2 linked regions of the Stegostoma tigrinum genome follow. The protein of the gene in region 1 binds, or shares a complex with, the protein of each later gene. Links are inferred from orthologs where the notes say so. Each region holds a gene or a part of one and is shown in the gene's direction. Other genes may lie near its edges.

Region 1 (8,252 bases):
ATGCAAGCAGAAACGGTGGTAAATGTGTATGGCATACTGGCGTTTATTGACTGGGGAACTGAGATTGGGGAAACAGGATGTCATATTGCAGCTTTATAAGACTTGAGTTAGGCCATGCTTGGAGTATTGGATTAAATTCTGGTTGCCAAGAAGGATGTGGAGGCTTTGGAGAAGGTACAGAAGAGGTTTACTAGGATGCTACCTAGATTAGATGTTATGAGCTATAAAGGAGAGGCAAGAAAAACCCGGGCTGTTTTCTCTGGATTAGCGCAAACTGATGTAAGTCTGTAAAATTATGAGATGAAAAGATATGGTTGAGGGTCAAAATCCTTTTCCTCAAGAACTGAAATGTCTAATACTAGGGGGCATTCATTCAAGGTGAGACAAGGTGGGTTCAAAGGAGATGTGAGGGGCAAGTGTTTAACACAGAGGGTGACAGGAGGCTGGAACATGCTGCCAGGAGTAGTGGACGAGGCAGATATGATAGGGGTATTTAAGGCACTTCAGATAAGCACACGAATAGGCAAGGAATGCAGGGATCAGACCAAGGGCAGGCAGAAAAGATTTGTTTAATGTGGCATCATGTACAGCACAACATCATAGGCCCAAGGGCCCATTCCTGTCATGCACTGTACTATGTACTACTGAGGCCTATGTCTTGTCAGACTGCATTTGGAATATCATGAACAGTTTTGGGCCCCTTACTGAAGAAAGGAAGCGCTGGTGTTGGAAAGGTGGTTAACGAGAGTGATCATGGGGATGATGGTTTATCATAGAAGTGGTGAGGACTCTGGGTCTATACTCAGTTCAGAAAGATGAGGGGGAATCTCATTTGAAATGTACAGATTACTGAGATACCGAGACAGTCTGGTCAGTGAGAAGATACTTCTATTATTTGAGAAACTGGGACCCAAAGGAACAGCCACAGACTGAAAGGATGACCCTTTAGAACTGAGATGAGTGGAATGTCTTAAGCCAGAGGATGGCTAGTCTGTGGAACTCTGCCTCTACAGCCTTCTGTGGCAGTGAGTCCTTGTGTGTGTTTTAGACAGAAATAGACAGGTTGATGATTTGTAGGGGCATTAAGGGTTACAGGCAGAATGGAGTTGAGAAACGCATTAGTCATGACCAAACGGTGGAGCAGCTTTGATAGGTGAAGGGCCCAATTCTGCTCCTACAGCATATGTTCTAAGACAGATGGCCAGTTATTTTTGCCTTGGTTGCCAGAGACATAATGGATTGAATGATCCCTTTCAAAAACAAAGCTTCTATGGTTTAGACCTCCTGTTTTGGTAAAGGATACAATTGCTTTAAAAACAGTTCAGAAAAAGGTCACAACTCATTCCTGAGGAATGAAGGGCTTATTCTGTGAAGGAACACTCACAGGTCAGGCTGATAACCATTGGATTTTAGAAAGACGAGAACCAAGATTTTACATTCCAATAAAATTGTAGGAAGTTATAGTGAAGACCGATAGTATGTTTCTTCTGGTGAAGAAACGAGTACCGGGTGATGACAGTTTAATAACAGGTCTCTTATTGAAGACTGATGCAAAGTTTCTTTACCTTTACGGGTTAACAGAGTTGAATTCTCTTCCCAAAAGATAGTGGAGTTTGGGTCTTTAAATTTATTCAAAAGCTGAGTTTTATTCAACAGTGATTTTACGGGTTATGTCAAGCAGACAAAGTGGAGCTGCGACCAAATGATTTTATTGAATGGTGAAGGAGAGGTAAATGGCCTAGTTCTGTTAATATCGAGTATAAACCACCCCACATTTCTCAGTGATAAACCTTACTCGCTCTCCCTTTCCCCAAGTAAAGCTCCCTGTCCACATCTCAAAATAAATTACCTCCCTTCAGTAAAACTCCAAGCATGAGCAATAAATCATTCGTCTCAGTAAAGGTCCTGATCTTGACAAAACATCTTCACTAAAAACGCCTCATCTCTCTTTCCATAATCCTACTCATCTGAGCTCCTTGAGCTCCCCATCCTTCCCACCCAATTTCCAAATATCCCTTTTCTTCTCCACTGGCACCCAAACATCCCTTCTTAGCCCACCCTGGACCTCCCACCCTAGGATGCCAAATCTCCTGCCATTGAACCCAATCTCTGTTCTCCGTCCCTCATTTGTGGCTCCCAGATCTTCTACCCCAAACATTTCTCTCCTGCCACCATGCTCTCTTTGGTCCTACAAATCTTCCTTCTTTATCTTTTCTCACTCAATTCTCCTCTCTAACTCTTGGTCCCAAATCTGCTGCATCCTTAGCACTCAATTTCCTCTCCTACCAAAAATGCTGCGGAGGCCTCAACTGCCTTCAGCTGCTTCAGTGACTTCCTGCCATCAAAAGGTCGGAAGTAGGGATGTTCACTGATGATTACACCAAGTTCAGAGCTTTTCCAACAAGCCAATCTAGCAACTAATACTTGACATTCAATGGCACATCATCACTGAACATTACGTGAGGAACTCACTTCCCATCTTCCTAAAACCAGTCCACCATTTATAAGGCACAAGTCAGGAGTGTGGTGGAACACTTGTCATTTGCCTGGATAAAGGTAACACTCAAGAAACTGACATCATCCAGGGCAAAGCAGCCTGCTTAATTGGCACCACAGCCAGAAACAATCATTGCCTCCACCCCCCAATACTCAGTAGTGCATTGATGCACTAAAGTAAATCACCAAAGATCCTTAGAAAGCATAGTCATACAGAACAGAAACAGACTCTTCGGTCCATCTCATCCACGCTGACCAGGTATCCTAAACTAAAGTAGCCCCATTTGCCTGCATTTGGCCCATAATCTTCTGGAGCATGCCATACTCTTACTGAGGCAGAGATAATAGGAACTGCAGATGCTGAAGAATCTGTGATAACAAGGTGTAGAGCTGGATGAACACAGCAGGCCAAGCAGAATCAGAGGAGCAGGAAGGCTGACGTTTCGGGCCCAAAACATCAGCCTTCCTGCTCGGCCTGCTGTGTTCATCCAGCTCTACACCTTGTTATCTTACTGAGGCCCTTGTGTTGCCCCTTTCAGGGAGTTATGGATTTGCACCCCAAGATCCCTCTGTATATCAATGCTCCCAAGGATCTTGCCATTTACTGTATACTGTCGTCTTGCATTTGACCTCTCAGAATGTATCAATTCATTTGACCAGGTTCAAATCCATCTGCCATCACTCCACTCAACTTTTCAACTGACCTATATTGTGCTGTGATAACAAGGTATAGAGCTGGATGAACACAGCAGGCCAAGCAGCAGAGGAGCAGGAATGCTGACTTTTGGGCTGAGAACCTTCTTCAGAAATGCTGTATCGTTTGACAACGTTCCTTACTTTTCACAACTCAACTAATTTTCATGTTGTCTACAAGCTTAGCAATCAGACCACCTACATGTCCACCCAGATCATTTACAAATATTACAAATAACAGATATGATCCTCGTATAACATAACTGGTTTCAAACCCACAACTGCTTCCATGTGGAATGACAAGGGCAGCAGACACATGGGAGCACCACGAGCAAGTTCACCCACCATGCTGATATGGAAATATATTCCCATTCCTTCAGTGATACTGGGTCAAAATCCTTAACCACATTGAAAGCCTACCTACAGCAATTCAAGAAATCTGTTCGCCCTTAACTCATAAGGTGATATGAGAGTTAGGTAAGACTAGAAGACAAGTAGGTCATTCAGTCCAGAGTTCTGTTCTACCATTCAATGAAATCACGGCTGATCTGTTAATCCACAACTCCACTTTTCTGCTTTCTTCACCCACAAACTCTCTATTCCCTTACCAATTAAAAATCTGTCAACCTCAATCTCAAATATGCTTAATGATCCAGCCTCAATAGCCTTTGTGGGGAGGAATTCCACAGATTCACAATTCTCAAGAAATTCCCCTTCATTTCTCTCTTAAATGGTATGATCTCAGAATAAGGGATCACACATTTGGTCAAGAGGAGACAACCTTTCCACATCTATCCTAATAAGGTCACATTGGGGCTAGTCTACTCAACTTCTTCTCATAACAAAGTGCTTCAGACCTCACATCAGTCTAGTGAACTTCTCTGGATGGCCTCAATTGCTTAGATAAGTTTTGAAAAATGTTTTGAAAAAGAGTCACTGAGCCGGAAGCGTTAACTCTGATTTCACTCTACAGATGCTGCCAGACCTGCTGAGGTTTTCCTGTAATTTCTGGTTTTGTTTCTGATTTACAACATCCACAGTTCTTCAGTTTTTAAGACCTGTATTAACATGGTGTTTAGCACACAAATAGATCTATGCTGCGCCTACAACGGTTATTCATTTGTTTTTGAGGTGGCGGATCTATGGAATTCGGTCACGGGGAGTGCATCGGATGCCAGGTCACTGAGTACTTTAAGGAGAAGGCAGAAAGATTTTTAACTGGAAACCGAAAGAACTGCAGATGCTGCGAATCAGGAACAAAAACAGAAGTTGCCGGAAAAGCTCAGCAGGTCTGGCACAATCCGTGGAGAGAAAAAATAAGCTGTTAATGTTTCGGTTCCGGGGACCCTTCCTCAGAACTGTATTACTCAGAATAAGTAATAGGATAATGCGTTATGAAGCAAAGGAGAAATTCAACCATGACTGTATTGAACGGTGGAGGGGTCTCGCTAGACTTAAATTGCCATCCTCCAATGTTCTAAGTTAAATTTTTTTGAGATTCATTCACAAGGATTCCCTGCACTCAGCCCTGTGTTTTATCTTCCTGCAGCCTTGCACTATTTAACACGATCAGCTCCTCGGTGCTTCCTGTCAGAGTGCCGATATTACAACAGACAACATCTAGCGCACTTCCGCAAGGAGCAGTTAGAGAGGCCAATAAACACAGGCCCAGCCAGCAAGTCCACCCCCATCCCCCGAACCCTCGATACGGGCCTGGAATTGAGGGCGGCTTTCACCAGGCGGAGTCCACCGCTACAGGCCGAAGCACCCTGAGCATCGTCAGCCAGGGACGAAAGACCCACAGGAGAGATGAGTTACAGCAGGCGGCCTTAGCCCCTTACCTGGTACTGGCAGAGCCGAGCCATACTGCCGCTGGCGGAGCTGAACAGCAGAATCCATGCGGCCAAGACAGAAATCAGTGCCAGTCCTGGGCAAGAGGGGGGATCACGTGGGAGGCAGCGGCGGCGAACAGACTCGGTCACGTGGGGGACGTGATGCCGTGTTTGGTCACGTGGGATGGCGGGCTGGCTCTCGCTGATGAAGGGTTCGTCTCGCTCCGATTATGTTAGAGGCGGTGGGAAGCTGGATGAACACAGCAGGCAAGCTGATGTCTCGGCCCGAAACGTCAGCCTTCCTGCTCCTCTGATGCTGCTTGGCCTGTTGTGTTCATCCAGCTCTACACCTTGTTACCTCGGATTCTCCAGCATCGGCAGTTCCTACTGGTTCTAATGTTAGACACAGCGCCGAGGGAGCGGGCGCTGTCGGCGGGGGGTCAGCGCCGAGGGAGCGGGCGCTGTCGGGGAGGGGAGGGGAGGGGAGGGGTCAGCGCTGAGGGCGCCCATTGCTCAGTACTGATCCTCTGACTACGCTGCGCCGCCTCAGTCTGCCACTTCTGACAGAACACCACTGGCTCAGGCACTGCACTCTGAAAGCTTTTAGATCACGCTTTAGGGCAATAACCTGGTGATATTTACAACAAATGCTACCAGTCCACTCAGGAATGAAGGATAGTCAATCTAAACATTGCCCAGTCTTACTCCTGGTAGTTCCTTATGCCTGGCTGTACACTGTAAAACCATAACAGTAGTTTTACACCGTTAAGACATCCGTCGAGTCTGCTCCACCATTCAATCATGGCTGATATGTAACTCAACCCTATTCTCCTGCCCTTTCATCATAACCCTTGTTCCCATTACTAACAAGAGTCCAGCTATCTCTGTATTAAACATAATCAAAGACCTGGATTTGGATTATATATTTAACATTTTTCCCTGTATCTTTTTGTTCAATTAGGATACAGCAAGGTATTGAAGAAACTAACAAGGAGAAACTGGAGCAGTTTCCTCCTCCAGGATGTCCACAGTTTGGTTCTGTTTGTGTTTTCTGCCTTTCTGGACAATCCTTCCAGTCTCAGGTGAGGAATTGTAATGTAAGTGGAGCTGAGAGTTATGTTTCACAGATTAGTGCAGGCACTGAGTCTTGTTCAGCAACCAGATTGGAAACAGTCTGCAAGAAACAGGTTGTTTCTTTTAAACTAGCCTGCTCAGCTGCTCCTGTAGACTGGTGTAGGTCCAACTCACTTTGGGTTAGGGTTAGTTTCACTGGGATGTTAGTTCACAATGCCAAATCCATCTTGGCATCAAAAATTGCATTAAATACTGAGGATTGAAACCTGTGGACTTGTTGCATCTGACCTGATCTAATAGGAATGCAGAATTTCTCAGCAGTACAGGACCTGAAAATGGCCATAACCTATATGAACAGATTTTCAGAAATTGTCATTATATCTTCTGCTCTGGGCTGGCAGATCCTGCACGTTACATGATCTTGTGCTCATTTCCCAGTCTGCACACGCCTGAACCTGTTCCTAGCAGTCAGATAAACCATATGGGATAGCTTTTCATCCAGGAGATCAGACATCATTGGGAGATGCTGAGGAGTCTTGAAAGGGTGTTTGTGGAGAGGATGTTTCCTATTCCAAAGAATCTAGGACGATGGGAGAAGAGACAATTTTTTTTTCTCAGAGTATTGAGAGTTATTAAAGTTCTCCCTCAAAAGGTGTTGAATATTTTTGAGGCAGATGTCAATAGATTCCTGTCGAGCAAATGTGAAAATTTATCATGATTGGTGGGAATGTGGAGTAATCAGATCAGACAATAGGTAATAGGTGCAGGAGTAGGCCATTCTGCCCTATGATCGTGGATGATCATCCACAATCAATATCCTGTTCCTGCCTTATCCCCATAATCCTTGATTCCACTATCTTTAAGAGCTCTATCCATCTCTTTCTTGAAAGTATCCAGAGAGTTGGCCTCCACTGCCTTCTGGGGCAGAGCATTCCATATATCCACCACTCTCTGGGTGAAGAAGTTTTTCCTCAACTCTGTTCTAAATGGCCTACCCCTTATTTTTAAACTGTGTCCTCTGGTTCTGGACTCACCCATCAGCGGAAACATGCTTCCTGCCTCCAGAGTGTCCAATCCCTTAATAATCTTATACACCTCAAACAGATCCCCTCTCATCCTTCTAAACTCAAGAGTATACGAGGCCAGTCACTCCAATCTTTCAACGTATGATAGTCCCACCATTCCGGGAATTGGCCTCGTGAACCTACGCTGCACTCCCTCAAATAGCAAGACTGTCCTTCCTCAAATTTGGAGACCGAAACTGCACACAATGCTCCAGGTGTGGTCTCACCAGGGCCCTGTACAGCTGCCGAAGGACCTCTTTGCCCCTGTACTCAATTCCTCTTGTTATGAAGGCCAGCATGCTATTAGCTTTCTTCACTGCCTGCTGTACCTGCTTGCTTGCTTTCATTGACTGATGTACAAGAACACCTAGATCTCGTGTTTCCCCTTTACCTAACTTGACTCCATTGAGATAGTAATCTGCCTTCCTGTTCTTGCCACCAAAGTGTATAGCCACACATTTATCCACATTAAAGTGCATCTCCCATGCATCCGTCCACTCACCTAGCCTGTCCAAGTCACTTGCATCTGCGTGAATAGTGGATTGGGCTTGTTGGTCTACTCCTGTTTGTAGTTCATTTTTTTTCAAGGATACTCCCTATTGGATCACTGTCACATTTTCCTGTTTTCTACAAGTTTCAACCCAAGGCTCTAAGTGAGGTTTTGAAATATACCCGTTGTCAATTATAATTGTAAAATCTGTTAAATCTCATCTGATAAATTACTATTTGAATCATGTACCAAAGTGTCACCAGTGCCTGGAACATTACCTCAGTGAAAGTTAGCACCTTCAAAGTGTAAGAAGGGATGAAAATGGGTCAGAGTATTGTTCTGGAGATAGCAGGAACTGCAGATGCTGGAGAATCTGAGATAACAAGGTATAGAGCTCGACGAACACAGCAGGCTAAACAGCATCAGAGGAGCAGGAAGGGTCTTGGCCCGAAACGTCAGCCATCCTGCTCCTCTGATGCTGTTTAGCCTGCTGTGTTCGTCCAGTTCCCCACACAGCATTGTTTTAACAGTTAATAAAATGTGAGGCTGGATGAACACAAGCAGCATCTCAGGAGCACAAATCTGCAGTTCCCATTATCTCTG
Region 2 (7,222 bases), on another chromosome or scaffold:
GATATATTGGAATCTTCCAAAGTCCAGTTGATCATAGTTCAGGAATGGCATGTTCCTGTGAAGATAAACGATATGGGCTGCAAGATTCAGGAGCCCTGGATAACAAGAAATATCAAATGTTTAGTAAAAAAGAAAAAGGAAACATATGTAAGGTTTAGGAAACTGAAATGAAACAAGGTCCTTGAGGAATATTAAGGAAGCAGGAAAAAACTTAAAAAAGGAATTAGGATGGCTAGAAGGTGCCACAAAATGTCCTTCGCAAGTAGGATTAAGGAGAGTTGCGAGGCATTTCATAAGAATCTTAAGAGCAAGAGGAGAATTAGGGAAAAGATAAGTCCACTTAAGGACAAAGATGGGAATTTATGTATGGAGCCAGAGGAAGTGGGATAACTACGCATCGGTATTCACTAAGGAGAAGGACATAGACAATGGTGAGATTAGAAGAGGGGTTTGTTGATATTCTGGGGTGTGTCAATATTAAGGAGGACGACGTGTTGGGTATCTTGAAAAACATTAAGATAGATAAATCCCCAAGGCCTAATGGAATCTATTCCAGGATACAGAAGGAGACAAGGGAACAGACTGCTGCGACCTTGATAGAGATCTTTGCATCCTCTTTAGTTGCAGGTGAGGTGTCAGAAGACTGGAGATTAGACAAAGTTGTTCACTTCTTTGAGAAGGGCAACAGGGATAATCTGGGAAATTATAGGCTTGTGAATCTTTCATCAGTGATAGGGAAATTATTGCAGAAGATTCTTAGGAAGAGGATTTACTCACATTTGGAGAAGAATGGATTTCGTCAGGATAGTCAATATGGCTTTTTGCAGGGGAGGTCTTACCTCACAAATCTGAGGTTTTTGAGGAAGTGACAAAGACGATTGATGAGGGTAGGGCAGTAAATGTTGTCCAAGTTGACTTTACTACAGTATTTGACAATAGTCGGACGGTACAGAAGATTACATTGCATGGGATCCATGATAAGTTAGCAAATTGGATACAAAATTGACTTGGTCACAGGAGACAGAGGGTATTTACGGAAGGATGATTTTCTGACTGGAGGTCAGATTGACACCTGAAAATGCTCACTTTCCCTCTTCTTTCCTGAAGGATCCTGCAAGGCATCAAAACTCTCTTTGAGAAGGAGCTCCATCCTTCCCAAACACCAGTTCAAACACTGACAGTCTATATGGGACAGTTAATGAGCTGGAGGAGTCGGCACCTAGCAAAATACAGTGGACAACAGTAATGACTGCTGGCAAGAGCCGACCAGGAGAGATCACGCTGGCATACTCTGTCACAGCTCTCAGGGCAAAGTTGCAAGAGGCCGAGTGAAATCACTGAGCTATGAGCTAATCCCTGACCTTTCTGGTGGCAAAGTGATGAGGCAGTGCTCCTTCTGACCAAGATGAGAGAGATAAAGAATTTAAGGGCTTGATAACTGTGGACTTCAGACAAACAACTGGATGAGGTATGAGGAGTTATGCTCAGTAGTTTCACAATGAAACCTGAGGTAAGGAATCCCTATCCAGCCTCAGTGATGTTATCTCACACTCTGCACTCCACCCTGAAAATTATGATTAGCTTCAGATAAACAGAAGCCAGGCCCTCAGTCTATAGGACGTCATGCTAACATTCTCTGCAGCTTTGGTTTAAGCTTAAAATAGCTGCCGTCCAGAGGTCAGAATGTATAATTGAGTGATTGCTCAATCAAATGGATAACAGCTTTGCTGGGCTCAATTATCCTTTGCTTTCTTCTTTTCCATAGATCAATGGAACTGAAGAGACCCAAATCTGAGGGAAGGTAGTGGCGTGACGGAAGCAGGATGCATCCTTTCTTTCAGAATTACAGCAAACCTGAGCAACTAATACTTGTCACAGGGCCAACACATGAGCTACTGAGCTGGAACAACTAGAAATTGGATCCTCATGGGCTCGAGCACTTAGGAGCATCACAACGATTCGAGCACATGCCAGCTTGCTCTGCTCACTGAAGAGAACGTCACAGGAGTTAGAAAACATTCTCGAAAGAGAAACACTACATCTGGGTAAGACAGAAATAAAACGTATTTATTATTTTTGACATTAATCAACTTGATCATAATCAGCCACCTTAGCCTTCAAAATAGTTTCACAGTTACATCTGAGTCAACATTGTCAGAATGTTTTCAATGTTCAAGGCAGAATGAGGAATTTAACAAGGGTTGTTATGCAGAAGGGGTCTGTCTACGTTCTCAGGTCGGGATATAAAGAATCCCAGGGGATCCACAGACTAGATCACAGAATCCCTACAGTGTGGAAACAGGCCCTTTGGCCCAACAAGTCCACACTGACCATCCCACTCAGATCCATCCCCTAATCTACACATCCCCGAACTCTATGGGCAATTTAGCATGGCCAATCCACCTAGCCCGCACATCTTTGGACTGTGGAGGAAACCGGAGCACCTGGAGGAAACCCACACAGACACAGGGAGATTGTGCAAACTCCACACAGAGATTCACCCGATGGAGGAGTCAAACCTGGGTCCCTAGCACTGTGAAGCAGCAGTGCTAACCACCGAGCCACTTTGACTCAATGTTGAATGTGCTGACCTTTTACATCTGGTGCTACAAAATGCTGATTTTTCAGAGTGCCTGTTTCCCAATGTGATTGCATCTTTCTCAAAGGTTTTCATCATTTGATGATGGTTCCTGTTGCTGCTGCTGCTTACTTCCTCTGCCAAAGGGAGGTCTTCCTTCAAGGCAGTGTGGAGCAATATGCTGCAGATCATGTCGATGTATAACACACAATCTGGGGGAAATTGTGCAGAGCAAACTGCTAACATTGACAATGCAGAGATTGAAATTTATTGCTTGAATGAGCTTTTATTTTGGTGCTCAATGGCCACCAATATCACACTGTCAATCATGTCCTGCATGTAAGTCAGCCATGGCTCCAGAACAATGTACTCTTTTCTGTTGAATGTTGAAGCTAATGGAGACCATGACGTACTTTTCTGGCAAACAGGACGCTAGTTATCTGCCTACTACAGCTGTGGACTGAAAACTGGCACATTAGTAGACCTTGTAGCTAATTGAAAGTAGCCAGAAAATAAAATTCAGGGTAGGTGTAACTTTGAGGACCATTGGTAGGGCATATTCACCCTTACTGATCTCAGTGACGACAATTCCTATTGTAAGAAATCATGGTGATCCATCTGAAGGGCAACCCCTTCTGCCAGTGAATCTCAGACAGGTCCAAGACATGTTGTCCGGGATGCAGCACCCTCTATTCAGTCGTCTTGATGAGCCCAGGTGCTGGGGTTCCTCATCCTCTCCTCCAGCCCTGCTGGATTGGTGAGGGGCCAAATTAAAATCATCCCATATGCAATCCCCAATATCTGTATAACCAACCTCCAATTGGAACTACACAAGGAGAATGAAAAAGATGTTCCTGAACAACATATTTCGGGTTTTCCCCCCTATATTCATACCAGGGGTGAGAGTGCAGGCAGCATTTACTGCCTATTCGGCGTCAGCCTCATTCAAACCAGACACTCAAATTCCACCATCTGCCTTGGCAGGATTCGAACACAGGTCCCCAGATTAACAGTCCAGGGATAATACCACGAGGCCACTGCCCCGCAAACGAGGTCCTGACGATGAATTTTTAATTCCGGCAGACTTCGTGTCAATCCCGCAGGATTTGCAATGCCGAGACCCGTCTGCATCTACCTCTTCGTAAGCAAGTACTGAAATACAGAGCCTTGACGTCTTCGAATCAGAATTTTAAAGAAAACAGCGCGAATGATACAGATCTGAAGTGAAAACAGAAAATGCTGCAAATGCACCGCCTATTAGTCGACGCATTTCTGACAGGAGCTTCTGCTGCCGGTGGCTAAGAATGTGAACCAGCGTCTGCTGCTGTCCGAAGCACTTCTTCACTGCTGCAGCTGCACCTTTGCCCTGCCCGCGGGACAAGCGGTCGCGCATGCGTGGTCCCTTGTCTGTGCAGGGCGCAGCCGCGGGACGGGCCAGGGCGGATTGCTCTGAGCTGCTTGTCAATCAATTTGCTGCTGGCGACAGCGGCACTTGCGTGAGTTTCTGTTGCTCCTCTCAGTCTCCACAATGGGGGTACGGCCTGGAGTCACTTACACAATCGGCATTCTTTGCATTATTTTCTTAATAGCGAGCATTGCGCTCTTAGTGACTAACGTCTTCGTTGATGTTGTCGAGAAGTACGTTAAAAAGGTAAGGCCTGGGATTTGTATTTAAAGTTATTTGTGCTGCATCTAGTTGGGGGAGGTCCGTTTTGCTCAAGCTCATTTTTGCCTGTTTGATGTTTTGGATGTCCACGGTGGTGTAACAGCAGTTGTTTTGGGTTGATATTGAGGCGTAGAATTTAACAACAGGGGCCGCTGCATCAATGAGCTACTCAACATTGTATATAAGGATACTTTTAATTGGCGTTGCTCCAAGCTTAAATAAAAGCTGTCATATAAACACTGCTGTTGTTTGTTACCAATTAAACATGTTGTACAAGAAGTCTGGAATTGAAAGTGTTTGCGGAATTGGCGACGAAGACCTGATGCCGTAGATCTTTCGTTTTGAAAAACAGAGTATAATTTAGTTAGGTGCCTCAATATTCTTTTACCTCTTATTCTACTGATGTGTCGCTTGTACAATTGAGAGTGAATGTAATATGCAGGGTTTGTGTAATTGTGACATACTGGGCTGTTGAGTCATGGTCAAGGATGACACATGGCTTTTCCACAGCAGTCCATGTTCATACTCCGGAGCCAGAAAATGTTTCTCGAATGCGCAGCGTTTTAATAAGAAAACGTGGTCGAAAAGTGGAAGGAGGAATAATGATTAGGAGAGTCTGAAGGAGGAGAATATAAGAAGAAAAGAATGTGTTTGAGAGCAGCTGAAAGCAACTACGAAAAGAGATGAAGGGGGAGGATGTACAAAAAGTCGGAATTAATTTTGATTCCTTTCCAGAAATTGTTTCTGTTTTATGTGATTTGATATTGTGGCGTGCGAGCATCTAATTGAGTTATATAGTAGGCATGTTTTAAAGTAGGATGTTAAAAAATCCTTTGATTGGATGTAGTAGAGAGAACCTAGGAAAGAATAACTGGATAACTTTGTGACTTGTGACTTGAGACTTCGATTTGCCTTTTGAAGGTACTCGCATGCAAAACATTCTCCTGCTTTTTACGTAAAGCGCTCTGATTTTAGTAAGTATGGGAACAGGAGTAGGCCATTCAGCCCAAGGAGACTTCTGCTAATCAACGAGATCATAGCTGATCTGTGGTCTAACTCCATACACCTATGTCCTTTAAGTATCTCAGTACTTGGCTCTCTTAAACTTAATATTTACATTTTTGATTGTCAGGCATTGCAGTTTTGCTAATAGCATCTCTATTTTTGTATAGATATTTAATCATAGGTCATCATAGAATCCGTACAATGTGGAAGCAGGCCATTTGGCCCATCAAGTCACACCACCCTTACAAAGAGCTTCCCATCTGGACCTATCCACGTAGCTTGCACATCCCTGGACACTATGGGCAATTTAACATGGCAAATTAACCTAGCTTGCGCAAGTTTGGACTGTGGGAGGAAACCCATGCAAACACTGAGAGAATGTGCTGACTCCACACAGACAGTCATAGAGCTTAGAACTGTAGTTGACTGAGGGTGGAATCAAGCCTAGGTCCCTGGTGTGGTGAGGCTGCAGTGCTAATCACTGAGCTGCTGTGCGTTGCCTACTTGCACTTAATGTTAATTCCAAATCCTCTACTTGTCATCTTAAGTAATATAGATCCTGTTAAATTTTCTTTGTCACCATCTTGCATTTGTTTTTAATTTTTAAATAATTAATTTCATGCTCTGGTGGATTTTGATGTTAAAAGGGACGTTTCAATAAAAGCAATGTAAGGAACAAGTGGGACGAAGGCAAAAAATTGTACCATGGGAGATTCCATAACTTAAGGTTAGGTTGCATCATCTAGGTGCAATGTCAGGAATTACTACTTCATAGTGAAATTTTTATATTTGTTTGAGTTGAGTCAAAATCAGCATTCTTTTTGCCCATTCTTAATTATCCTTGAGATGATGATGGTGTCCCAAAATGGAACTTGATTTTCTTGCCATAAAACTGTTGAGGCTATGTTAGTTTAAAAAAAATCAGAAAAAAAAATTTGATATTTGTCAGGCAGCGGTATGTTAGAATTGTGAAGTTTAGAATAATTTCTTTTGGTTTATTAATTTTTGATGGCACTTTGGCTTGAAATGTAGGGTACATGGGAGGCGACTTGCAAACTCTGTTGGTATCTGCCGGACATAAGTCAGGATAGTTTTGTTATTGGGGATCAGAGGAAGACTCGTTATATACGAAAGAAGAGATGCAATGTATTCACACACGGAGATAATGTCACCAGGTTCTGAATGTCTATAGATTAGGCTCCTAGATTCCCAAAATTCTAGAAACGTGTTTCTCAAATCTTATGTTTTGTGGTCTAAAACGGACTCTAAAGCTAAACAATATCAGAAAACTTGCATTCATTTTGCATTTTACTGACTTAAGTACTCGAGGGAGAAAGGAATGGAAAAATATGTTGATGGTTTTAAATCAAATGGAGCAGAAGTATGTTTGTGTGGAGCATAAAATGTTAGGCTCTTTGGCCTTCTACTTTCATGCTGTAACTGTGCAATGAATTCTATTATAAATGAGATTTTTTCTTATTGTACCAGTGATGCTGTGACCACATGTTTGATATCATTTAGATGTGTGGGAAAAAATAATTTTTAAGAAGTTGCAGTAGTTATCTAGGCTTGTGAAGCACTGGTGAAGGGACATGTCTTGGAAGAAACATGTCTAGAAGTCATTTGATTTATTGTATCGTGTCATATTACTGCACCACACTCCACAAACCTCACTGAAGTTAATCTTTATGGCAAAAGTGACTCATTATTGCTTTTACTTCTCAAACTGAAAGTAATTAACTTTGGTGCCTGCTTTAAAGTTGACTTATGGTTTTATTCAGTCTCCCAAGTTAAGCTGTTTCACTGGAAATACTTATGTTTGACCGATTTATCTTTTAATAAAGGCTTAAACTACCTAGACAAGTACAATAATTAGTATAGAAAGGAGTTTTTTTAATGACAGCATAAAAATAAGCAAACTCAGCTAGGTTCTTCTCAATAGCATAGCAAGATTTCATCTAAGGAGTTACAGA

What was found.
Region 2: the proteins of gba1 (region 1) and scarb2c are in contact, whole or in part, in a cryo-EM structure (PDB 9FJF), measured with the Homo sapiens proteins. The link is inferred for Stegostoma tigrinum from reciprocal best matches to the Homo sapiens genes GBA1 and SCARB2. Residues at the interface, in NP_000148.2 of Homo sapiens: Leu130, Asn131, Ala134, Ile169, Glu190, Lys194, Leu195, Pro430, Arg434, Ile445, Thr446, Asp448; in NP_005497.1 of Homo sapiens: Lys161, Ala162, Tyr163, Gln164, Lys181, Glu183, Leu187, Phe191, Arg192.

The regions. Positions count from the first base shown.
Region 1 is NC_081400.1:102,582-110,833, reverse strand, and holds the start of gba1 (lysosomal acid glucosylceramidase), read left to right. Parts: upstream 1-5,116; 5' UTR 5,117-5,233; exon of another isoform or gene 5,234-5,458; intron 5,459-5,585; exon of another isoform or gene 5,586-5,604; intron 5,605-5,610; exon of another isoform or gene 5,611-5,731; intron 5,732-5,982; 5' UTR 5,983-6,042; coding exon 6,043-6,103; intron 6,104-8,252. Other genes in the region: chtopa (chromatin target of PRMT1a), read right to left, coding at 5,031-5,088. UniProt on the Homo sapiens protein: Glucosylceramidase that catalyzes, within the lysosomal compartment, the hydrolysis of glucosylceramides/GlcCers (such as beta-D-glucosyl-(1<->1')-N-acylsphing-4-enine) into free ceramides (such as N-acylsphing-4-enine) and glucose.
Region 2 is NC_081354.1:76,366,547-76,373,768, reverse strand, and holds the start of scarb2c (lysosome membrane protein 2c), read left to right. Parts: upstream 1-4,077; 5' UTR 4,078-4,106; coding exon of another isoform or gene 4,107-4,203; coding exon 4,204-4,229; intron 4,230-4,925; exon of another isoform or gene 4,926-4,940; coding exon of another isoform or gene 4,941-4,951; intron 4,952-7,222.